2 linked regions of the Stegostoma tigrinum genome follow. The protein of the gene in region 2 interacts with the protein of the main gene of each other region in a pairwise test. Links are inferred from orthologs where the notes say so. Each region holds a gene or a part of one and is shown on either strand. Other genes may lie near its edges.

Evidence for each region.
Region 1: the proteins of pex13 (region 2) and pex14 interact in a two-hybrid assay, tested with the Homo sapiens proteins (2 studies listed by BioGRID and IntAct, with this or other methods). The link is inferred for Stegostoma tigrinum from reciprocal best matches to the Homo sapiens genes PEX13 and PEX14.

The regions. Positions count from the first base shown.
Region 1 is NC_081381.1:13,579,032-13,591,703, forward strand, and holds the start of pex14 (peroxisomal membrane protein PEX14), read right to left. Parts: upstream 6,194-12,672; 5' UTR 6,125-6,193; coding exon 6,092-6,124; exon of another isoform or gene 6,026-6,091; intron 1-6,025. Other genes in the region: dffa (DNA fragmentation factor subunit alpha), read left to right, coding at 6,889-6,988, 12,409-12,576. UniProt on the Homo sapiens protein: Component of the PEX13-PEX14 docking complex, a translocon channel that specifically mediates the import of peroxisomal cargo proteins bound to PEX5 receptor.
Region 2 is NC_081362.1:41,435,285-41,448,392, reverse strand, and holds the start of pex13 (peroxisome biogenesis factor 13), read left to right. Parts: upstream 1-7,325; 5' UTR 7,326-7,458; coding exon 7,459-7,529; intron 7,530-13,108. UniProt on the Homo sapiens protein: Component of the PEX13-PEX14 docking complex, a translocon channel that specifically mediates the import of peroxisomal cargo proteins bound to PEX5 receptor.

The sequences.
Region 1 (12,672 bases), on a different chromosome or scaffold from region 2:
CATCTTTTAGGAAGAGAGTGTCCTTCAATATTTTGAAGGCAGTAGATAGATTCTTGTTAAGCATGGGTATGAATGGTTGTCAGAGGTAGGCAGGAATGCTAATGAGGTTACAAGCAGATCGGACATGGTTTTATTGAAAAGTGCAGTAGGCTGAAGAGGATGGAAGGCCTACTCCGCCTTTTGGTTCATATGCAAGTATAATTTGCCTAAAAAGTAGTGTTTAGTCAATAGTGGTCTTAGTCTGTTTTATTAGAGTCAAACATATTCAACAATGAAATTGTGTTATTCTTTCAGTCATTAATTGTAAGTTTGAATTTTGTTTTAAAGAAATCAGTCTCTGGGGGATTGTACCACTTTGAAGCATTTTCTTTGTACAATGGAATGGATACTTCAAAAATCTTTTGTGGTTCTTTGATTAGACCACTTTTTTTTAAGATTGCACAGAACAAAGGCATTGGTAGCTGTTATGCCAGGGAATGATTAAGCGATAATTAAGCTAAAACACAAGTCTCAATCTTTCATAACAAGGTGTAGAGCTGGATGAACACAGCAGACCAAGCAGCAGAGTAGCAGGAAAGCTGACGTTTGGGTCTGGACCCTTCTTCAGGAATGATCCAGACCCGAAATGTCAGCTTTCTAGTTCCTCAAAGCTGCTTGGACCGCTGCGTTCATCCAGCTCTATACCTTGCTATCTCAGATTCTCCAGCATCTACAGTTTGTAATATCTCCCTTTTAATCTGTCATGACAGGAGTAGGGGCGCCCTCTAACAATTCCTCCTGAAATACTGAGAGAAGCTTGTCTAATCTATTAAAAGAGGGGTTAAAAGAAAGAAAATCCCTGATCTCCACTTTACAAGTAACAAGAAACAATTTATTTATTTAACACAATGAACAAATTAACAAAATTACTAACAACAGACAATTTGTCCTTAAGTCTACTAACTACTTCCTAACTGGTCTAAATTCTACTGGAATGCTGTTTAAATAAAGACAAGTCCCACCAAGATAAACCCAATTAATAATAAACAATAAATTAAAACGTAGTCTCTCCAAGCTCACAGACTGTCTTCCGGAATATTCTGTCATCTCCAGGCTCTTCACAAACACCTTTCTTCCATTAATTCTGCAGTCAGGGATATTTTCTCTCTATAATTTCTTCAGTGAAGACTTTGAGCTAAAATACCATGGCACCTTTGATTAGTTAGATGGGCTTTCTGAGAACTGTATCGTACGAACTCTGGCAGGTGGTGGATGGCTGTCTCTTTCAGGTGGCAGTTGGCTCTCAGACTTTCCAAATGCCCTTGTCTTACACACCCCCAATGACATAATCCAGTTCTTATGATTGATTTCAGGTTGTGAACACCAGATTTAAACTCAACCGGCTTTCTGTATCTAGATGCTTCATTTAAATTAATTGGCAAAATTCAAACTTGTTGTCTCGGAAAAAAATGCTGCACGGCCGTTCTATACGAAATGTTTCCATGTGGGCACTCTCTATGCACCTGCATTTATAAGCTTCCAAGCACGGACAAAGCACAAGTTCTTAAAGGGACCACAGCACTTTTTCCCCACGATTATTTTTATCCACAAATACTAACTCCCTGCCTTCCAATCCATGAATGCTCCACCCAAATTTGTAACAGTGGCAAGGCCATTTGTTGCCCATTCTTAATTAGCCCTTGAACTGTTTGGTTTGCTATGGTCTTTTCAAAAGATAGTTAAGAGGCAACCACAGTGCCATGGGTCTGGAGCCACATGCAGTGTAGATGGGGTGAGAGCAGCGGATTTCTTTCCCTGATGATCATTAGTGAACCAGATTGGTTTTTACAATAATGATGATTATGTAACCATTATCAATTAGAGTCTTCATTTCAGATTTTATTCAACCCAAATTTCACTATCTGTCTTGGTACAATTTGAACCATATCACCAGAACTTCAGCCTGGAGTAGCAGATTACTAATCCAGTGCCATACAGCCTCCCCTAAATCCTGGTTTCCTTATTTGAAAGAAATACATGGAGAAGATACAAAGAGGTACCACAAGGCTGATACTAGAACATTGGTTTAAATGTAATCAGAAAAGATTGAACAGATGGGGACTTTCCACTCAAAGAGACGACGGAGGGGTGATCGGATAGGGACCCATGGCGCAGCAGCGATCTGGTAGATTACATGATGATTCCACATGCAGGAAGACAGATAAATCAGAACCATAAATATGATAAATAAAAACCTAATATGTAATCTAGCAGGAGCTTCTTTATCCAGGGTAGTGAGAATGTGGTACTCACACACGTTGGGTGAAACTGAAAATGGTGTACATTCCATACATCAGATAATGCAAATTGTTTTAAGGGCTTCATCTGTCTCCAAATAGATTCACATTGTGCTGTGTCAAGGAGACCTTAATATACAACTGGCTGCAGTAGAAATCATAGGAACATGCTCACACTGTGCTGTGGGAAGATAACTTTAAACATCCTCTCATCTCCTGTAACAAATTAGGTTGAGGTACTCTGACAGACCTTTACACATGCTGATTTCCTAAAGATTATTCATATGGAATTACCTTTTGGAGGTCCACTTTGAATGTTTATATACAGCCCTAAATTTCATCCTAACTTTATAATGCCCTTTATTGTGCATGTTATATACAAAAAGATATTAGAACAAATACGACTGCCTTAAAATAGATTATTTATTCAGTGACTGATCTAAATCCAGGCTAATAATACATTGCTTAAAATAGAGACAGGATGGTCCCTGCAGCTCAGATTTTCTGGGCCAAGGCACATTAGGCAGAAACACCCTGCTGTAGGAAGGATGTTATTTAACTGGAAAGATGCAAAAAAGATTTACAAGGATGTTACGGAATTTGAATGGTTTGAGTTATAAGGAGAGGCTGAATAAGCTAGGACTATTTTCCCTTGAAGCATAGGAGGCTGAGGGGTGACCTTATGGAAATTTATAAAATCATGAGCAGCACAGATAAGGAGAATAGCCAAGGTCTTTTCTCAAGGATAGGAGAGTCCAAAACCAGACGGCATAGATTTAAAGTGAGAAGGGAAAGATTTAAAAAGGTACCTAAGGGGCAACATTTTCCACACAGAGGATCGTGTGTGTGTGTGTGTGTATATACAACAAGCTGCCAGAAGAAATGATAGATGCAGGTACAATTACAACATCTAAGGGAGTTTTGGACAGGTACATGATAGGAAAGGTTTAGAGGAATATGGGCCAAATCGGATGAGTTCAGTTTTGGAAACCTGATTGGTGCGAACAAATTCAGCCAAAGGGCCTTTTTCTGTTCTGTATGATTCCAAGGCTGCTGTAAACAAAACAGAGGCAAACCCTGAAGTATCATCACAGGGCATGCCAAAAATTGCCAAAACAAAAACAAACAAACAAACAATCAAATTGTACCTAAGACTTGGTTGAGTGAAGTCCACACTCAGCCTAAAACTCCAGAATAAAAAAGGAATATGAAATACCACAAAGAAAGCAACATAGGAAGCCAATCAGATCTTAAAATTCAAGTTTCAGAATTAAATTCCATTCTGGTGACAATTGGCCACCAATTGAACAGCAAAATTCATTGAGAAATATAATTTTTTGAAACAACTTTATGAACTGAATAATTGCTTGGTAATACAAATCTTGAATCTTGCAGAAGAGACATCTTTCCAAAGTCGGGGATAGTAAGAACTGCTGATGTTGGAGTCTGAGATAACACAGTGTGGAGCTGGAGGAACACAGCGGGCCAGGCAGCAGAGGAGCAGGAAAGTTGACACTTCGGGTAGGGACGGGTCCACACCGTGTTAGCTCTTTCCAAAGTCTGATGTCTTGTCCTCTTCAGGATAAATGCAAAAATGCCAAATTTTAAACCATCAGAACTATTTATACCCAAAACTTTCCCAAATATGAATTTCTCCTCCCCAAAGAAACCTACAAAAAGTATCCAAATAATTCCACTTTGTTTGCAACACAAAAATAGGAATTTCTCATATGCAAAATACTAGAGATTCTGGAGATCTGAAGTAAAGTGCTGGAGAAATTGAGGGTCTGTCAGCATCTGTGGATAGAGAAACAGAGCTAATGTTAAGAATTATACTGGACTCAGTTTCTCTCTCCACAGATGCTGCCAGACCCTCCGAGTTTCTCCTGTACTGTTTCACATGATTACTTTCTAAAAAAATGACTGCTTGGAGCATACAAAAATATCTGGGATGGATTTAGAAGCAAATTTGATCAAAGAATCGAAGTTAACTTGCGAAACCGGAAACTGTGAACTGGAGAAAATAAATTATGTGACCTTGGGGAAAAACACACTTACGGTCTGACACACACAGCCATGCTGGCTTGGTGCAAAAATAACAGAAGAAGGAGTCCCACATTCCCCACCTTTACCTTGTAAACCTGCACATACACTCTGGAAATGAAAAAAGAAAACATTAGGAATGCTAAGCAGGTCGAGCAGCATCTGTGGTTGAAAACCAAAGAGAACTGTGGTTGCTGTGAATCAGAAATTGCTGGAAAAGCTCTGAAGGTCTGGCAGCATCTGTGGAGAGAAATCAGAGTTAACATTTTGGGTTGAGTGCTCCTTCGTCCAGTCACCTGACCTGAAACGTTAACTCTGATTTTTCTCCACAGATGCTGCCAGACCAGCTGAGCTTTTCCAGCAATTTCAGTGTTAGCATCTGTTGTTAACTTGGATTCTACATCCACTCAGTTCAACAACCTTACACCACAACCAGATTAGAAGTTGAAGTTGAGAGCTTGGTCAGTAACTATCTAACCTTCTGAATATCCCCAGAATCTTCCCGTTTTACCTAAGTTCCCCAACATTGTTTACTTAGTTACAAGAACAAAAGCATTTTTGGTCAATAGTGCTGTTTAGTTTGGATAGATACTATCGGCACTCAACAACACATGGCCACACCCAGACCGAGACAGCGGAAATGCAAAATGAAAAATAAATAAACTGAAAAACAGTATTATTGGCATATAAGTAAATGCATAATTATCAGCATAGCTAACAGCTAAAAACTGAAACATCAAGAAAAGGGCATTAGAAACAAGATCAGAGGCTGACCACAAGCTCTCAAAAAAACTGAGCATTGAATGGAATCTCAGGTTTATCCAGTGTATTTTTTCCAAATAACCTCATATCTAATAAACACACTCATATACCTTGTATTCCTCTAAAAGCAGTGAGACGGAGACGAAGTGAAGCATAATAAGTACTTCATAGACAAAAAATTACCAAACACATAAATACGATTGCCCCTTTTTAATGCACTGGACTTCACTCTGATCTGACAGTACTTCTACAAGGGAAAAGCGATTATAGTATCTGGGTTACTGACGTTTCTGAAAGCGAACAAAAATAAACCAGTGATTTGGATCAAATTCCCAAATGGTAATGGAGGAAAGGAAGGACATGCAGGCAAAGGAGTGTCAGCGAAGAACAGAAGGCAAGGGGAAGAAGGGGAGAAGGCAACAGAGTAGGGGAAAGGAGGGGTGGGCAGAGGGGCAGAGCAAGAGATGGGAGGAAAGGCAATGAACAGAAGAGACAGCACGTATGTTGGGGAAAGTGCAAGCGAGGATGCGTGGAGGGATGAGGGGGGAAGACAACATGAAAGGGGATGAAGCAAGAAGGGAGATATCATGCGAGGGCATGTTAGGAGAGGCGCAGGATGGGGGGGGGGGTCGGTTGAGCGTCAGCCGTGTGGGGGGGCAGCTGACGGTGAACTGGGGGCGGGGGTAGAAGGCGGGTTAAGGTTGAGAGAGAAGGTAATGTGAGGGTGAGAGGTGGTGATGGTGGTGGGGGAACAAGAGATTGATTTGGGGGGAAAGGGAAAGGGGGTATGAGGCAGGCAAAGGAAATGTATGGGTGAGTGAGGTTGGAGGAGAGCTGTGAAGGAGGTGAGTGGGGAAGGGAGAGGTGTACAGGACGTCGGGGGAGGGGGGGATGTGAGCGGAAGGGATGTAGGGGATAAAGTAATGGGATAGCGATTGAGGTGGGAATGGAGGGGAGGTAAGTTTGAGGGAAGGTGGGAGATGTGTATGGGCCACCCCGGGGTTTCTTACCTGTCGCGGCTCCGCCTGCTCAAAGGACGCCATCTTTATGGACCAGAGCAACCGATCATAGCACGGTCGCTCTCCTGTGCCCGAGGCGACAATATCGATCGCAGAACCCCTCAATCACCAACGACAAGGACAAAAACATCACCTTTTCTGGTAAAATGAATTCAAGTAGAGATTTATAAAATCCTAACCTGATGTAAAATTGTGGATTATATTCAGAACATACAGAAAATTAACGGACCGTTGGGGCCGAAGCATTATGGGAGTTGTAGTTTTTATTCTGGGTTGGCATGATCACACTCAGGCCGTCGCTTTATTTTTTTCTCACAGTGGACCTTTTAAATGTTTTTTTAAGCTTCCGACAATCCACAGCCATGGCTATAATCATTTTTCTCCCTCGTTAATTCAGACGGGGAAAAAAAATTGTCGGTTTGGAGCGCATGCGCAATAACAGCCAGCCACCACTACTACAACAACAACTGGGAGGGACGGTGCAGAACATCTGTGGGGAGAGGGAATTGTATATTTACATTACTTTGCGGCATCAGCTCTCTGTCCTAGTGTCCCTTGTTGCCATTAGCGGACTCTCGAAGTTCAGTTACTGTGGGAAACGCAGGGACCTGGTTGTGCACAGCAAGATCCCACAACAGTAAGGTGAAGAGCTACCAGATAATCTGCTTATAAGTGTTTGGGGGGGCGCTCCTCACCCATTAGTCTTAAGGTATCTAGACCATTCGCCTTCGAAAGCAAACCAGGTCTCTCTCTGCCTCACTCCTGGAGAGGGCAGGGGGTGTTCAGCCATGGATCAAGAAAGAAGATTTCCCTGCAAAATCTGTGGCTCTAGCCGTCTTCAAACGTTCGGCGTCGTCGTGAAGTCTTTGGAAGATCTGGTAGCCAAAGGTAACCATTCAGAAGCCCTTGTCACCTTGGTACACAAGCGAAGCCAGAAAGACTGTCATTGTTTGGTATGCTGGCTCCCTGGCCCCATCCCATTTTTAAACTTCCATCGGATGGGGAGGTGGGCCACGGGCAACAGGGCATATGTAGCAGGTCTGACACCTTAATAACAGTCATATTAAGTCAATCCAGGAGGCTCTTGTGGTGTAGTTGCAGTGTCCCCACCCCTGGGCCAGGATGCTGTGAGTTCAAATTCCACCTGCAAAAGCTTGTAATAACGTGTCTAAGATAACAAAGTGTGGGGCTAGAAGAACACAGCAGGCCAAGCAGCATCCCGCACACTTTGTTATCTTGGATCCTCCAGCGTCTGCAGTTCCCATTATCTCTAATAACATGTCTAAATAGGTTGATTAGAAAATACCTAAGCCTGATTAAATGAGGCCATTAAGATTTGTCTTGTATCAGAGATAGTAGGAACTGCAGATGCTTGAGAATCCAAGATAACAAAGTGTGGAGCTGGATGAACACAGCAGGCCAAGCAGCATCTCAGCAGCACAAAAAGCAGAGAGGCTCTCTGATGAAGGGTCTAGGCCCGAAACGTCAGCTTTTGCGCTGCAGAGATGCTGCTTGGCTTGCTGTGTTCATCCAGCTCCACGCTTTGTTATCTTGGATTCTCCAGCATCTGCAGTTCCTACTATCTCTGATACAATTTTAACCCCACTGCAAAGCCTCTTCCAGGGATGCCTAACCTGAAGAAGTTACCCTCCTCCCTCCGGACCAACCTCAGGGAATCTCTCTCCCACTGCACCATCTTCGGTCCGCCTCCCCCTCTCTCCCTATTAATCCAGTTCCCTCTCCCCATCCCCCTCTCTGATGAAGGGTCTAGGCCCAAAACGTCAGCTTTTGTGCACCTGAGATGCTGCTTGGCCTGCTGTGTTCATCCAGCTTCACACCTTGTTATCTAAGATTTGTCTTGTGCTGTTCCACTTTCAAAATCCATTTTTAAGTTTAGTGCCTAAAAAATTAGGATAGAGTGAGTCTGTGTTGAAGTGTGCATTCTTATCCTGTTTCATTGTTCCTGTCAAACTCAAAGACTTGCTTCTAGCTTTGGAGTCCACCAAGCAAGTTAACTGAGTGCCCATGAAGGTTGCAAAGAGTGTTCTGAAGAAGTCATTCCGGTGCAAAATGTTAACTCTTGTTTCTTCACAGATGTTGCCAGATCTGCTGAGTTTCTCCAAATCCTTGGTGTGTTGCTTTGTTAGAAACAGTGTTAGTTTCTCAAGTTAGAAAACATCTATTATTACAGTTTTTTTTGTTACAGATCTGTACTTGTGATTTTAATTTACAGCCTCTTAGCTTTCTGTCTGACCTGTCCCAATAGATGGAGCTGGTTCACGGCATAAAGAGGCTTTTACCTTGGTTTGTAACTCATGGACTTTGAATCTAATAACCTTGGTTGTATAAATATTGAAAAAGATTTAAGTCACATGCAATTACCCACTCAAAGTAAATTTGGCTGGGTTATAAAGAGTTCTGATTGCCTTGACATGGATAGAATGATGCGTACAGAGTTTGCCTCTTCTACCCTAACTGTTTTTTTCATTGTACTGCAGCAGGATGTTGAAATGACCCATCTTGATGTATAACATGTACATATTTTTCCAGTGAGGCTCATTGTAAGCTTGAAGAATTGCACCCACTAAAAAAATGACTGCTTAGAGCATACAAAAATATTTGGGATGGATTTAGAAACAAATTTGATCAAAGAATCGAAGTTAACTTGCAAAACTGGAAACTGTGAACTGGAGAAAATTAATTATTTGACCCAGGGGCCCATGTATGAGAATCAAAAAGGTTCAGAGTTGGAGGAATTCAAGGGAGGGTAGCAAATTGAATCCAAAAGTGACCTTGTGTTGGAGGAAGCAAAGGGTGACGGTTGAAAGTATTTTTTGTGACTGGTGGAATTCCACAGGACTTAGTACTCATTCCCTTGCTTTTGGTAATTCATATCACTAATATAGACACCATTGAAGGAGGCATGATAAAGAAGTTTGCAGATAATACAAATGTTGGTCGTGTAGTTTGTGGTGAGGAGGAAAGTTTTAGACTGCAGGAAGCTAGAGATGATCTGGTTATTTGGGCAGAAAAGTGGAAAATGGAATTCAATCCATTGAAGTAGATAGTGCATTTTAGGAGGTGCAACAAGACAACGGTAATACACATTAAATATGAAGGTACTCAGTTATGTGGAAGAGCAGAGAGACTTTGGAGTGGATGTCAACAGATCCTTAAAAGCAGCAGGACAAGCTATAAAATGATTAAATAGAATATAATTATGGTTTCTTTTATTAGCCGAATCATAGAATATAACAGCAGGGAGACTATTCCAGCATTTTTTTACACTGCTGGTTAGAGGACCATTGTTACAAATGTGAGGCTGCATAAAATGATTATGTTTAGACTAACTCCTTTAATTAAAGATAAAATAAAATTGTGTCTGTTGATCTGCCCAGCAACAAGTCCAAGTGATCTGACTGCCTTGGGGACAGGTCCCTAACACCTGGAGACAAAGGATTACACAGCTGGCCTTAGTAATACCAGAAATACTGACTGAGACATCCTGGACAGAAAGGGAGATAAGGGAGCAGCAGCTGCTGTCAAAAGCAGAGGTAAAAGGCTGCTTTCTGTGAACCAGCAGGTGGATTTCTGCTGAGGACTCCTTCTCTGCTACAAGAGACAGAGTTGTGGAGATTTCTGGACAAAAATCCCATGTGTGACTAGAAAGAGTTGGGTTAGGGATTCTCAGAAGACAAGTGGAAATGACTTTCAACAGACACTACAAAACGGGAAAATGAGCTTTTTAGAAGTTGGCGGTACCTTTGGTCTGGTTGCTGTAAAGATGTCAGTTTTGCAGAGAAAGCACAGAGAACAACACAGCACAGGACTAGGCCTTTCAGCCCACCAAGACTGCACTGATTTCTACTTCTTACTTAGACCAACTACTTATCACCCATACTCAGTCACTATCTCTCTCTTCACCTCCTTTTCGTGTGTCTATCAAGATACACCTTAAATCTTGCTAACGTGCTTGCTTCCATTAGCTCCACTAAAAGCACATTTCAGACACCCAAAACCCTGTGTGTGAAAAATGTTCTACACACTTCTCCCCTAAAATTTCCCCCTCTCGCCTTGAACCCGTATTCTCTTGTAGTTGACCTTTCCACCTTGGGGGGAAAAGCCTCTGACTATCCATCCTATCTATGTCTCTCATAATTTTGTAGATCTCAATCAGACCACCCCTCAGCCTCCATCTTTCCAGTGAAAATAATCCAAGTTTATCCAACCTTTCCCCATACCTAAAACTCCCCAGACCAGGCAACATCCTGCTAATTCTTCTGTGCACCCTCTCCAAAGCATCCACATCTTTCTGGTAGCATGCAGTATTCCAAATGTGGCCTCACTAAAGTTTTATACATCTGTAACACTACTTCCCACCTTTTATATCCAATAGCCCAGCCAATGAAGGCAGTGTGCTAAATGCCTTCTTGACCCTTAATGCATCTGTGTTGCCACTTTCAGGTGTCTGCGGACCTGTACACCCAGTTCCCCCTCTATGTCAATGCCCCTAGGCCTCTGCCATTTATTGTATAATTTGTACCTGAATTTGTTCTTCTAAAATGCATCACCACACATTTGTTTGGATTGAATTCTCTCTGCCATTTCAGTGCCCAAATCTGCAATCTATCTATACCTTACCTTATCCTTTGACAATCCTCACTATCTACAACTCTGCCAATTTTGGTGTCATCCACAAAAATACTAATCAGACCACCTATTTTTCTTTCCTGCAGATCATTATTTATATTAGAAACAACAAAAGTCCCAGCACTGATCCTAGTGGAACACCACTAGTATGTATTGTGAAAACAAAAACAATGTAGGGTTTTTGGTTATATTAGGAAGTTAAAGGCGGATATTCTCTGTAGTTTAGTGCATTAATTACCTCCTGAGTAAAGTTTACTCAGTGGTGATTTAAACATATTTGTTACAATTAATGTCTTAATATGTGAAATCATGTGATGTTATCATTTAAGTTAGTCACTGGGAAGTCGGATCTCTTTAAGTTTTTGGTCCCTAAGGAGATCATTAATAAAAGCTTAAGTACTGCAGGAAGTTTTATTCATCACATTACAGCAAAAACGATGGTGCAGAATAGTTTGAGGATGTAACCATAATCTGGAAAATTTTAGGTTTGAGGAAGGATTCGGTAGTCTTGAGTTTGTTTTCCTTGGAACAAAGGAGGCTCAAATTTGACTTATTGCTGTTTATAAAATTCTGAGAGGCCCCAATAGGATAAATTGGAACAACTCGCTTACTGTAGCCAAAGGATCAAAAATTATGGGGATCATAGATTTAAAGCAGTTGGAAAAGGCACTAGAGGGGGAGAGGAGGAAGTACCTTTCACCCAGAGGATGATAAGGACCTAGAATTTACTGGCCAGAAGTGTGGAAAAGACAGAATATCTAAACCCTAATTCAAAAAGTATGTGGATGTCACTTGGACGGCAGTACTACATAGAAACTTCCAAATGGCGACCAAATGAAATGTTCAAAAAAGACTAAAATACAATGAAAAGCCTGCATGTTGGTTTAGAATAGCAGTAGCCTTTCAAAGTTAAGTGATTGCATCCTGATCTGTGTTGCTATCTGTTGTCAGTGCAAGTTATGTATGTGTGCTTTTCAAAAAAAATAAAGTTGTGGGCCCTGCATGTAGAGCAGAAGAATCTCTCCTAACCTGATAAACAGTTGAGTTCCCCAATGTTAAGAATCAGTGCAATATTTTTATCTATGTTTGACAGTGCATTTAACTTGAAAGCTTCCTTTTAAATCCAAATGTTATGAACAGCAAGTGATGTCTTAATGTAGGCCCAAAGGTGAAATAAGTTACCTATAATGATTACGCTCTCTTTCTCAGTTGGAAAACCTTTTTTTAGCTAAGACTAGAACTTGTTTACAAACAATGAAGGGTCTAGGCCCGAAACGTCAGCTTTTGTGCTCCTAAGATGCTGCTTGGCCTGCTGTGTTCATCCATCTCCACACTTTTGTTATCTCAGCTATTGATGCTGATCCTTTTCTCTTACAACATGTAACATTGAGATGCAGATCAAACGATTTAATTTATAAACACACATTCTGCAGGTTTATGCTGAAAGGTTGAACATGCAGGATATGTTAGGCATATTAAAGTTGGGTTATTTCCAGGATAAGCAGTGCCATGATACAGTTACCAGCAATGGGTTACAGAAATTGTTTTCATGGTTGGGAACTTCACATTCTGCAATATCTTAAGTGTTTGCTTCAGTTAGCTAAACTTTCAGGAGATTTTACTATCTTCTAACTTGTATTTTAATTGTTTTTGTCTAGGGAGAGAAAAACTATGTTTTGACAAAAACGATGCACAACAAGCATTTACAGTTGTGCTTGAAGATGATGGGACAATTGTTGATGATGAAGACTATTTTGCATACTTACCAGAAAACACAAAATTCATGATCCTTAACTCTGGTCAGGAATGGACTCCTGCAAACATAGGTAAGTTGCTCTTTAGAAAACAGCTGAATGCTCATGTTAATTATGAACAGGCAGTATCACAAAATTTTAAGGACGTGAAATTACATAGACACAGTA
Region 2 (13,108 bases):
GGCTATTCACTTGGATGACGTTCCAGCTCCATCAACTATGGCTTCCATGTCACATGCTGATGTTGTGGCATCAATTATATTTCCACTTCCTTTGTCAGGGTGTTGTAAACTTCTGGGAGTGATGGTTGATCTGTCTCATGGCAAGTTCATATCTTATTAATCAGCCACCTACGAGCAAACAACTTCTCTAGTCATGTGTCTGTCTTCAGTTGCAATGGTAAATCTTGCTGCTCAGTTCAAACATGTACAATTGATGTAATACCCATTGGACACAGGTCCCAAGTTACCAATTGGTCTGATCCTTGTTAACAACACAATGTTTATACTCTGATGGCTCTCCACTGTTTGAGAATTTGGTAAGAAGATGAATTAGCTGGAGGTCAAATTTAATTTAATTTTGAAATGCACACCTGGTTTCAGCAATGTTTTTGCTATCGGAAGAATAATTTTGGCATGGCACCATAGTCTTTGTTTGTACAGGACTATTTGTCAAGGTTTCTGCTGGTTTGCTTCTCTATGCAAGGACTGGCTTATCTTTGCTGATTTTCACCAATGCCCCAGCCTTTTCAGACAACCAGGGATACAGCAGATGATGTATGATGTTGTATTTTCCAATTCTTTACAAAAGAGCTGGAATTCTTCATTTGGGTACTGAAGATCATTATTGGTCATCCTAGTCTCAGCAGCGGTGGTTCAAATCAACTGGTCCATCTCCCAGGAGTCAGAATCGGTGTCTAGCATGACAAGGTAATCAGCTCCTGTGAGTGCGAACAGATCTATTCCTAGCTACATCCATGGTCTATCTGGGATGTCATGCATCATCAGGGGCTCTCTATCTAGCTTAGATCAGTACTCATTATGAGAACTACACTAACTGATGTGGCCCTTGATTTTATTACTCACATTTGGCCAGGACAGCAAATCTCTTGTCTCGCTCAGGCTGGAATCAATTTCTTGCAGTTTGCATTGATGCACTTCAGCATCTCTCTTAACTCCTTCGGAATAAGAAATATTTCCTTTGTACAATATGCAACTTCAAGCTGTCAATTCATCTGTGTGCCCAATATACTTTTGAGACATAGGAGTGTCCTTGATGCTTTCAGGCCATCCTGTCATCTCGATTTCTTGCAACACTTGCAGATTTAAGTAAGGCATTTAAACACTCAGCATCATTGCTGGGGGCCCCTTTGTGATGCAGTGGTAGTGTCCCTTCCCCTGAACTGAGGAGCCCAGGTTCGAGTCCCATCTGCTCCAGAGGCGTATAAATAACATCTCTGAACAGGTTGATTCAGAAAAATAGATTCAATGTCTTTGCTGAGCTGATGACTTCCAGAACAGACTTCATATAACATTGTGAAATCTTCTAAATCCACTCTCTCACATCATCCTCTACATTAGTCATAAAAAGGAGATCTGCCGTCTGCAGCTTGGTCAGTGATGTACATCTGTTTCCTTTGCTTGTATGTCACATTCACATAGTATCTCTGTGACCAGGCTAACATGTTATGCAGATACTCTGAAGTAAATAGTAGTGCCTTGTGCAAAATAGTTTGAAGCAGTTTGTGGCTAGATTCAAACTCATCTTGTCTCTTCCAATTAGGTGTTAATGAAAATGATCACGAGCAAAGGTAGTCACCCAGGCAACATCTTGATCTGAGCATATATTCATTTTGTTTGCATAAATGCACTGGATCCAAATACAGCTTGTTGTCCTTGTTACACGAGGGATACGCCAAGCCCTGTCCTGCTGGCATCACACTGTGGGCTGCCTTCGTCATGTATATAACACTTTGTCAACTCCATTACCTTGTTAGTTGCTTGATCTTGATGACTGCTGCTTGTTTTGGGCCCCAATGCCATTGTACAACAAAACAAGAGAACTGATCAATGACTTCAGAAAGGAAGGAGAAAGACACGCCACTATCTACATCAATGGTGCAGAGGTGGACAGCGTCAAGTTCGTAGGAGTAACAATAACCAACAATCTGTCCTGCACCTCCCTCATGGATCTGACAGTCAAGGCAGCAGTATAATGCCTTTCCTTCTTCAGATGGCTCTGGAAATCCGACAAGTCCATAAGAACCTCACCAACTTTTACAGTTGCACCACAAAAAGCATTCTATCTGGGTGCATAATGGCTTGTATGGCAACTGCTCTGCCCAGGCCTAGAAAAAGCTACAGGAAGTTGTGTACACAGCCCAGATCACCATGAAAACAAACCTCCCATCCAAGGACTCCATCTACACGTCACGTTGCCACAGAAATGCTGCCAATGCCATCCAAGATTCCTCCCACCCCAGTAATACTGTCTTCAAACCTCTTCCGTCAGACAGAAGATACAGATACACGTTCAAGGATAACTTCTTCTCTGCTGTTATTTGATCACTAAGTGGACTTTTCTAATTTCAAATCTAATATTGATCTTGCTTTAACACATCTTCTGTGCAGACGTATCTGTGTGCCTCACTCTATCCAAATACCCTATGATCTATATGTTCTTGAGTATTATGATCTGCTTGAAATGCTCGCAAAACAAAAAACTTTTCACCGTACTTGAGTACACGTGACAACAATAAAACAAATCAAATCAAAGTAAGTTCTTCTCTCAGCATGAGTGTGGTGCCATCATACAGCCTCGACTTTACTTTTGAGAGCTTCACTTTTCAACTTAAGAGAATCATTGAGTTGTCATTTCACACAAGCCTCTCAAGTTCATGATGCGCCATTGTGTATCTCACACTGCAGAATCACTTGTTATTCTCCTTCTGCAGTCATCATCCCAATAGTTACAAACCATTAATCATACACTGACAAATGAACTAACATGTTCAATGGTTTAGAGTGATTCTTCAGAATTCTATGCAGATATCTCTCCAGCGGCCATCTGCACCTGCTCATTCTACTTCTTTCTAATCAAACACTTCCACAAAATCATTTTGCTTCCTGTAGAAAGAACACTACGTACCTCAAATTGGATATGCCTTATTTTGCTTTGTGTGATGTAGTTGCAACTTGCTCTTTACCTCTGCTCTCTCTTCCTGGAATACCTGTCAAGACAATACCCAAAAGGCCTAGTTTGTTCTGTCATAAATATGCTCTTGGTGTTGATTTAAACACTCCACATTTCTGTACATGTTAATCACTTTCCAGAAAGGAGAAACATATCTTGACTCAATTACATAATCATCATAGAATCATACTATCCCTGCGGTGTGGAAACAAGCCATTTGGCCCAACAATTCCACAGTGGCCCTCCAAAGAGTATTCCACCCAGACCCATTCCCCTACCCCTGCATTTCCCATGGATAATCCACCTAACGTACACACCTCTGGACACTATGGGCAATTTAGCATGGCCAATCCACCTACCCTGCACATCTTTTGACTGAGAGGAAACCCGGACACCTGGAGGAAACACAGACAGACACAGGGAGAATGTGCAAACTCCACCCAGGTCCCTAGAGTTGTGAGGCAGCAGTGCTAACCACTGAGCCACTGTACCGCCCTGTTTTCTCAATTCACAAGACTCAAGAGTGTCATTCTGCAGCCACCTATTTAATCAATGGACACTTTTAGACATAGGCCTTAATGCTGAATATATTGATCATCAATTGAGGTTCATGGTGTAACTTCAGGTTTTCAAAATTTCTGCTCTCTAATATTTTTTGTTCTTTAGAGAGGTTTAGGTTAGAATATAATTCACAAGTCTCTCCATAGAGATAAAAAAAACGGAGATACTTGTAGCTGCTTTGGCTTGTAAATTAAATCTGCTGCAATTTTTTAATTTTGCAAGCAAATGAAAAAAAGCTGTCAGATTTGCTTCATATTATATTTCGTTTTAACTGATACCAGGAGAGTAAAGATGCAGCATGGTGCCTCATCCAGTGCCTTCTAACGTGATTCCCTTCTTTGTTCTTTTTCCGTAGCTTCCTGTTGTTTTTCGCAGCTTTGAACATTTCTGTGCTCCTTGGCTTGTAGTAAGAGTCTTTATTGAACTGAACTGATTACCTCTATAAGTGTCTCATGGTGGATATCACAGGACTACAGCAAGTCAGGAGGCACGATAGTGCAGTATTACGCTTTCATTCTAAACCTGTGTCAAACAGTCACTCTGAACTCCTCTTACAACTGACCGTAATGAGTTGATATCTCAACATCCTGACTACTGTTTTTGAAGTGTTTAATTACTAATGCAATCTCATTAACATAAAGTGTTTTTCTGCAAATGCTCAATAACACGTATTGTGCAATGAGGCAGACTTGACGAGGGAGCTTAAGGTAAAGGAACCCTGAGGAGGCAGAGATCATAAGATGATAGAATTTACACTGCAATTTGAGAGAGAGAGAGAAGATAGAATCAGAGCTAATGGTATTACAGCTGAATAAAGATGACTACAGAGGTATGAGGGAGGACCTGGGCAGAATTGGCTAGAAGAGGAGCCTCGCAGGAAAGACAGTGGAATAAGCACTGGCAGAAGTTTCTGGGAGTACTTCAGGAGATACAGCAAAAATTCATCCCTAGGAAAAAGAAGCATGGTACAGGGAGGATGAGGCAACTATGGCTGACTAAGGAAGTCAGGGATAGCATAAAAACAAAAGAAAGAGAAAGCATATAATGTCAAGAAGGGCAGTGGGAAATCGGAGGACTGGGAAGCTTACAAAGATGAACAGGGGGCAACAACAAAAAAAAAACTAAGGAGGGAAAAGATTAAATGTGAGGGCAGGCTAGCCAGTAATATAAATGAAGACTGTAAGATTTTCTTAGGTATACAAAGGGCAAAAGAGAAACAAAAGTGGACACTGAACCACTGAAAAATGACAGTGGAGAGATAGTAGTGGGAAACAAGGAAATGGCTGAGAAACTGAATTACTTCACATCAGTCTTCATGGTAGAAGACACCAGTAATATCCTAAAAATTCAAGAGTCAGGAGACAGCCTCCATATTCAGCTCCATCACCAAGGAAAAGGCGCTAGAAAAACTGACTGGCCTGAAGGTGGATAAATCACCTGGACCAGATGGGCTACACCCCAGAGTTCTAAAGGAGATAGCTGAAGAGATAGTGGAAGTGTTAGTGGTGATCTTTCAGGAATCACGAGAGTCAGGGAGGGTCACAGAGGACTGGAAAAAATCACTAACGTGACCCTGTTTAAAAGGGGAGTAAGGCAAAAGACGGAAAATTACAGTCCGATTAGCCTAAACTCAGTCGTGGGTAAAATTTGGAGTCCATTGTCAAGGATGAGATTTCTGAATATTTGGAATTATATAGTAAAATAGGGCAAAGTCAGCATGGTTTCATCAAAGGGAGATCATACCTGACACATCTGCCAGAATTCTTTGAGGAAGTAACAAGCAGGGTAGACCAAGGAGAACCAATGGATGCTATCTACCCGGACTTCAAGAAGACCTTTGATAAGGTGCCACACAGGAGACTGCTAAGTAAGATAAGGGCCCACGATTTTAGAGGCAAGGTGCTAGCATGAATAGAAGATTAGCTGTCTGGTAGAAAGCAGGGATTGGGGATAAAGGGGTCTTTCTTGGGATGGCAGCCGGTGACTAGTGATGTTCCGCAGGGGTTGGTGCTGGGACCACAACTCTTCAGTTTGTACTTTAAATGATCTAGATGAAGGAACTGTGGGCATTCTGGCTAAGTTTGCAGATGTTACAAAGATAGGTGGAGGGACAGGTAGTATTGAGGAGGTGGGGAGACTGCAGAAGGTCTTGGACACGTTAGGAGAGTGGACAAGGAAGTGGTAGATGGAGTACAACGTGGGAAAGTGAGAGGTCATACGCTTTGGTAAGAACAACAAAAGCATGGACTATTTTCTAAAATGAGGAGAAAATTCAGAAGTCTGAAGTGCAAAGAGATTTGGGAGTTCTAGTCCAGAAGTCTCTCAAGGTAAACTTGCAGGGTGAGTCAGTAGTCAGGAAGGTAAATGCAATGTTGGCATTTATTTTGACAGGACTTGAATGTAAAAGCAGGGATGAATTACCAAGGTTTTAAAAGGCACCGGCTAGGCCACTTTTTGTGTATTGTGTGCAGTTTTGGGCCCCACGTCTCAGGAAGGATGTACTGGCCCTGGAGCGGGTTCAGAGGAGGTTCACACGAATGGAAAGCTTAACATATAAAGGAACATTTGAGGACTCTGGGACTACACTCATTGGAGTTTAGAAGGATGGGGAATCTAATTGAAACTGTCAAAATACTGAATAGCCTGGACAAGGTGGATGTTGGGAAGATGCTTCCATTTGTAGGAGAGTCTAGGACCCAAGGGCACAGCCTTAGAGTAAAGCGAAGATCTTTTAAAGTAGAGACAAGGAGAAACTTCTTCAGCCAGAGAGTGGTGAATCTATGGAATTCACTGCCACAGAAGGCTGTGGAGACCAGGTCATTGAGTACATTTAAGACTGAGATAGATAAGTTCTGGTTTATCAAGGGATATGGGGAGAAAGCAGGAGAATAGGATGGAGGAACTTATCAGCCATGATTGAATGGCACAGCAGACTTGATGGGCCGAATGACCTAATTTCTGCTCCTTCATCTTATGAAGGGTAATTGAAGAATTGGTAGGAGGAACAAAATGAACATATATACGACAATGCAAAAAAAAAAGACCAGACAAGATACAGAAAAATCAATTCTACATACAAGAATCAAAATTTTTCTACAGTAAAAGAAACGACTTCAGATTAAACAACCTGTTTTAAACGACTATTGAAAAGTCTATAAAAATAACAAGCACTGCAAGACACCACAGACTTACATCTTCCTGCACATGCCTTAGGAGACTTTGCAATTATTTAACTAGCGTTAAATCTTTTCTTTCATAAAGAAAAGACTGATATAGGTAAACTATAATGTATTCAGTCAAATGACTTGGTCCTCAGAACAAACAAAAGTTAAATATAGCGATACATCAGTAAACTCACAAGTCCACAGCCACAGTCCAATGCCGGAAGTGATTACAGACAGACGCAGAGACTGCTTTCTGACTTGCTGCAAGTTCATGACTCCGAGTTCGAATCTATCCCGAGAGCCCATTGGTTAGTGCTTCAGCGCATGTCTCTGTCCTATTGGCTACTGTGCCGAGCTGTGTGTATCCCTGTTTTCTATTGGCTGCAGTGTTTGACAGGATGCATTTCCATGTTGTATTGGTTGTTATGCCTGTCCGATGTATCAATGTATTCTATTGGGTACTACCGTCCGTCTTGCCGTATCACCCTTTTTTGTTGGCTGCAGTGTTTGTCTGGTTGTATCCACTTATCCTATTGGGTATAATGTCTTTCCGGATATATCCCTGTGTCTTATTGGCTATTATTGTCTTGTCTGGATGTATCCTCTTCTTCTGTTGGCCGCTGTGTCTGTCCGGATGTCACCCTCTGTCCTATTTGCTATTTCTGATGGGAGTGAAGCTGAGGGGCCGAGAGGTCATTCCGAGCGTATGTTTTTCTGAAGATTATGGGGTCGCAGCCGCCAGCGAAACCCTGGGAAAGACGGATCCCGGGAAACCTGAGTGCCCCCTCTTTCCAGTAAGTGTTATTCGGTGATCATGATGTGCACGGCCGTGGCTCGGTGTGAAGCCTTAATGGCATTTCCGCTTAAGAAAAAAACCCACAGTGAACTCTTAAAATATCATCGTCTTTCGAACCGAATCCGATTTCAAAATCATAACAGCGGCACTTGCCAAGTGGAGTGTGGCAGGTGTCTGTGATGTGATTGAGCAAGTTGGATAGAGGTTTAGAGAATTATTCGAAATGCTAACGAGTTGTTCCCAGCATTTCTTCATTTTAAGCTTTTTTTTCAGAAGTCACCGCGCTAAATGTACTCCGTAAAGTTTAAAAGTAACAAACATTCAACATTTCGGAGGGAACATCAATGGCTAGGCCCAGTGTGGGGTGACTTCACCCGACATTGCCACCGCTTGTTGTGCTCCAAACCCCCGAAAAGCTGCAAATTCCTCTTCTGCTCTGAACAGTAGGATTGTAAAGTTAGTCAACCTTTTAATGCGGTGTAATTTGTGATGGATACGAATTTTATAAGGTGCTCCGATAATGAAACCAATATGCTTCGGGAGTAATCAGTTCCCACTGGGCTTTTTGTTGAATGAAGGTTGGAAGCAACATTGAGCAATGAAATCGACATTCGGGAATTGCAACATAACTATATAGAGAGTCAGAAATTTCTATACTACAGAAACTGTTCAGCTACAAAAACATTAATAACAAAATCATAATCTTGGATTTAGCAATATTTCGATGGTTTAAATGTCTGTCCTTTTAGTATTGAATTTTGGACGAGCTGTGTGACAATTTAGATACTGGAGGTGCGAGTGAAGTTGACCTGGATGCCATTAGTGCACACGTGAAAGCTAATGCATGAATAGAAGTTGACAAAGTGAAAAGTTATCCATCTAGACTGTTGAAGTCATTTTAAAAGTCCTGAATCTCAGAATGTTAACAAGCAGAACAGCAAGTAACATATGTAGGGAAATGGTGTATCGCTATTTATTACAAAGGGCTTGGAATTTTAGAGTAAAGGTATCTCACCTCAGTTATACGGGGGTATATCTGGAAAACTGTGAGCAGTTTTAGTTTGAGGAAAGTGTGTCTTGTCAGTGTGTCATAGTTAGAATGTATCAGAAGTTTAATAGATTGCTTTCCGTGATGAGGAATTGTCCTATGAGAAGAGATTAACAGAAGTAGACCTTTATTCCCTGGCATTTAAAGGAATTAGATCTGATGAAATAGAAACACAAATCATTCTTAATGAGCTTGCCAGGATGGATGCAGAGAAAAGAATGCCCCTGGCAGGGGAGGGCAGTGCTTTTACACAGACAGTGGTGTAGGCATGGAATGAACTGCTGTGCGAGTTGGTGAAGGTGAGTACAATTACACCAGTTAAAGTGTACATGGATAGGTAAATGAATAGGAATGGTTTAGAGGGACATGGGCCAAATGCTGGTAAAAAAACTGGGACCAGATCAGTTATGATGTCTGGTTGCACAGACGACTTGGACCAAAAGGTCTGTTTCCGTCCTCTATAACTGTATGATTCAATAACTTAGCAGTGAAATGAGAAATTTCTTCTTTCAACGGACAGCGATGCCATCCCAGGTAGCTGCAGACAATTGTTGACTATATTCAAAACAGTGAGTAGATATTTAGGTGCTAAAGGAATTGGGGTACGCTAGGTAGTGTCGAAAGGTGGAGCGAGATCATAGATAAACTATAATCGTATTGCATAGCTCAGAGGGAAAGTGCCTATTCTTGCACTTTGTGCTTTTGAATGATATCCCAAGAAGCAGTGTGTTTATGAGAACTAGAAGAGGGCTAAGGATAAATGCTTGAGGAACAACAGAGCTAATGGTCCAAGAACAGTAATAGTCACATGTGACTCTTTGGTTATGAACGGATTGACAAAGAAGGAATTTGCCCAGTGTGTAGTAGTATACTATTTGACTGCAATGGTGGTCACTGATTATAAAGATTGTGTTGATGGGATAAGATTGATCCTGAGGGATTATATTTGTGGGGCGGTATGGTGACACAGTGGTTAGCACTGCTGCCTCACAGCGCCAGGAACACGGGTTCAATTCCACCCTCTGCCCACTGTCTGTTTGGAGTTTGCACATTCTCCTCGTGTCTGTGTGGGTTTCCTCCCGGTGGTCCAGTTTCCTCCGGTCGATTGGTAATGTTAAATTGTCCGTAGTGTTCAGAGATTTGTAGATTAGGTGGGTTAGAGTGGATTGGGTTTGGGTGGGTGCTTTGAGAGTCGGTGTGGATTGTTGGGCCTAAGGGGTTGTTTTCCACACTGTAGGGATTATATTATTCTGTGATATGATTTCTCTTTCATAGTATGCTGTATAAGTTGAAGGAAGAAAAGAGAAAGTAGGATTGGTATGAACTGTATGGGGGATAGCTACTGTTCTTTGCAGTCAGGAGTATAAGCTTTAGAGGCTGGGTTGCCTGCCCTTTGCCAGGATTAAGCTCATCGGGGACAGGAAAGGAACCTTGAACAGCAAGGGCATTGATCCAATTATTGTGGTCCACGTAGGCATCGTCATCATAGGTAGGAACATGGAAGTTTAGCAGCCATTGGCTAATTTAAAATCAACTACAAATACAGTAAGCTCTAGATTACTAACTCAATCACAAACAAACTGGCACAGGGTCACTGATCAGGGGATTGAATGTAGGACTCCAGAAATTGTTGTGGGAAAGATGGGTTTCAATTGATAAAACACTGGCACAATACTTTAGCTTTTCCACTGGGATAGGCTTCATGTGAACCATGCTTGGACCAGTGCCTTTATACATTGAATACCTGGGGCTGTAGAAATGCGTGGATGGATAGAAAATCAAATGGGTGTGTTTGATTGAGAGTAGAATTTCAGGAATCAGAAGGATTGTTAAGTTGAATTAGATAGAGAAAGATAGTTAAGTACCAGCATTGGAAACAAATATCCAATGGTGGTGTCTTGGCAATGATTGATGGGAAGATGGAGATTAAAATCATGAGTGATTTTAAAAAAAAAAACAAGTTGGGTCGATTTTTCTGTATAATGACACAAAGTAAGATGGTGGTAGTTCTTGGAGGTTAGTCATCTCAGTTTCGGGTCATCACTGCCGCAGTTCCTCAGAGCAGTGTCATAGGCCCACAGATCAGCTGATTCATCAGTGACCTCTCCTTCTTCATTAGGTCGTCTGTGATGATTACACAATGTACCCTCCATAACTCCTCGCATACTGAAGCAGAGCATGTCCAAATGCAACAAGACATGGTCAGTATCCAGGCTTCGGCTGAAAACTAGCAAATAACATTTGCGCGAGACAAATGCCAGGCAGTGACCATTTCCAATCTATCACTGTCTGTTGGTTTTCAGTGGTGTACCTATCACAATGTCGTTACTATCAAAATCCAGCTGGTTAGCAATGACCAGAAACTGAACTAGACTTGTCATGCAAATACTGTGGCCAAAAGAGCAGGTCAGAGGCAAGGAATGCCACAGTAAGTAAGTTGTTCCTGATTCCCCAAAGTCCTGTTGACCATCTTCTTGGCACAAGCCAGGAATGTAACTGTATGCTCCTGACTTGCCTGGATGAGTGTAGCTTGACAACACCCAGGACAAAACAGTCTGCTTGTTTGGCACCATGTCCATGACCATTCAGTCACACCGCCAGCAATGCTCAGTAGCCATAGTGTGTACGATCAACTAAATGCATTGCAGAAATTCAACATGGGTCCTTAGACAGCACCTTCCAAACCCACAACCGCTACCATCTGACAGGACAAGGACAGCAGATACATGGGAACATCACCATAAGATACAGGAAAATAATTACTCCATTCAGCCCATCAAGTCTGCTCTGCCATTCCATCATGGTTGATTATGTTTCTCAACTCAATTCTCCCAGTAACCTTTGATCTCCTAACTAATCGAGAACCTATCTAACTCTGTCTTAAATACATTCAACCATGCGGCCTCTACAGCCCTCTGTAGCAATGAAACCATAGATTCACCACCCTCTGGCTGAAGAAATGCCTCCTCATGGCATTGTACTGTCACAGTAGCTCAGTTCTAAAGGGTCATCCCTTCACTCTGAGGCTGTGCTGTCGGGTCCAAGTTTCTCCTACTAGTGGAAACGTCTTTTCCATAGCCACTCTATCCAGTCCTCTCAGCATTACATTGGTCTAAATCAGATACATAAACCCCCCCCCCCCCCGCCCATCCTTCTAAACTCAAGTACAGACCTAGATCCTTAAACACTCTTCATATGAAAACCCTTCATTCTAGGATCAATTTTGTAAACCTCCTCTGGACCATCCCCAAGGCCAGCACATCCTTCCTAAACTGCTCACAAATTTCCAAACTTGGTCTGTCAAGAGCTTTGTACAAGAGTCTGAGCAGAATTGGCTAAGGAGGACAGAAAATAAGTTAGAAAGTAAGATGGTAGTGAGCATTTAAGGAAGCTATTCATAATGCTCGACAAACATATATTCCAATGAGAGAGAGAAACTCCACATGACAGATGGCTAACTGGAGAAGTAAGGATGCAATTAAAAGAAAAATAATACCATGTTGCAATGATCCGGGGTAGACCAGAAGATTGAGAAAAGTTTACAAATCCGGTAAAAGATGTTTTCTTTTTACAAAGATAAAATAAATTGAGAATAAACTAGCTTGAGACAGGAAACATACACTAATAGATTCTGTGTATACAAAGTGGAAGTGGATAGCTGAAGTAAATGTTGATGTCTTAGGCAAGACTGGAGAATTTAAAAAAGCACCCAGAAAATGCAAGAGACTTCAAAGAAATATATTCTACCTGCATTTGCTGCAGAGGGAATAAAAGTATTGAATTAATGCAGAGGTATCGCTGATGGTGTTTATCTAGTACTCTTGTGTACTGCTGATCATAGTCCAGTTCTCACTGCAGAACATTAGTGTGGTGACAGTAGCTGCTGTGCATTCTAAGACCTATTTTGACTTCGGCAGGTCTTTGTTATCAAACGCTCACCACGGTTTGTAAAAGGCTAAGCTGATGTAGCTGACCCAGTGTGGGATCTTTTCATCAATGGTTGCCTTTTGAGAGGGGTGGCTGTCACATTATGGGAAATGCTTAATATATTTCAGTGACTGCCCTTCAATGTGTATGGGAGGTAGAATATTTTGCTGACCAGTTGAGAGTTGATATTAGTTTTGTTTTGGCAAAGTTCAAGGGCCAGTCAAATTTCTTGGTTGTAGAATTGCAAATTTTGATGCAGAATAGGCAGCAACGTTGCAGTCATCTGCAAAGTATAAATTGTGTATGATTATGATGGTTAGTTTAGTTTTGGCACAGAGACAACTTTGGTACAGAGATTTTAAGAGATTTCTGTCCAGGCAATATTTAATATTGACATTGGAATGCAGTTTATCTGTGAGTATCTACTGTTAGGCATATTATAGATCGTATGAGAGGTAACATACAGCCTTGCTTGACTCCAGTTAGGATTTTGAAAGCATCTGTTTCAGATCTTCCCCTTAAGGTAGTTAGTTATATTCACATCATCATGATCATTGCAGGATTGTGATTTTTTTTTGGACATTCTGATCCATAGAACCTCA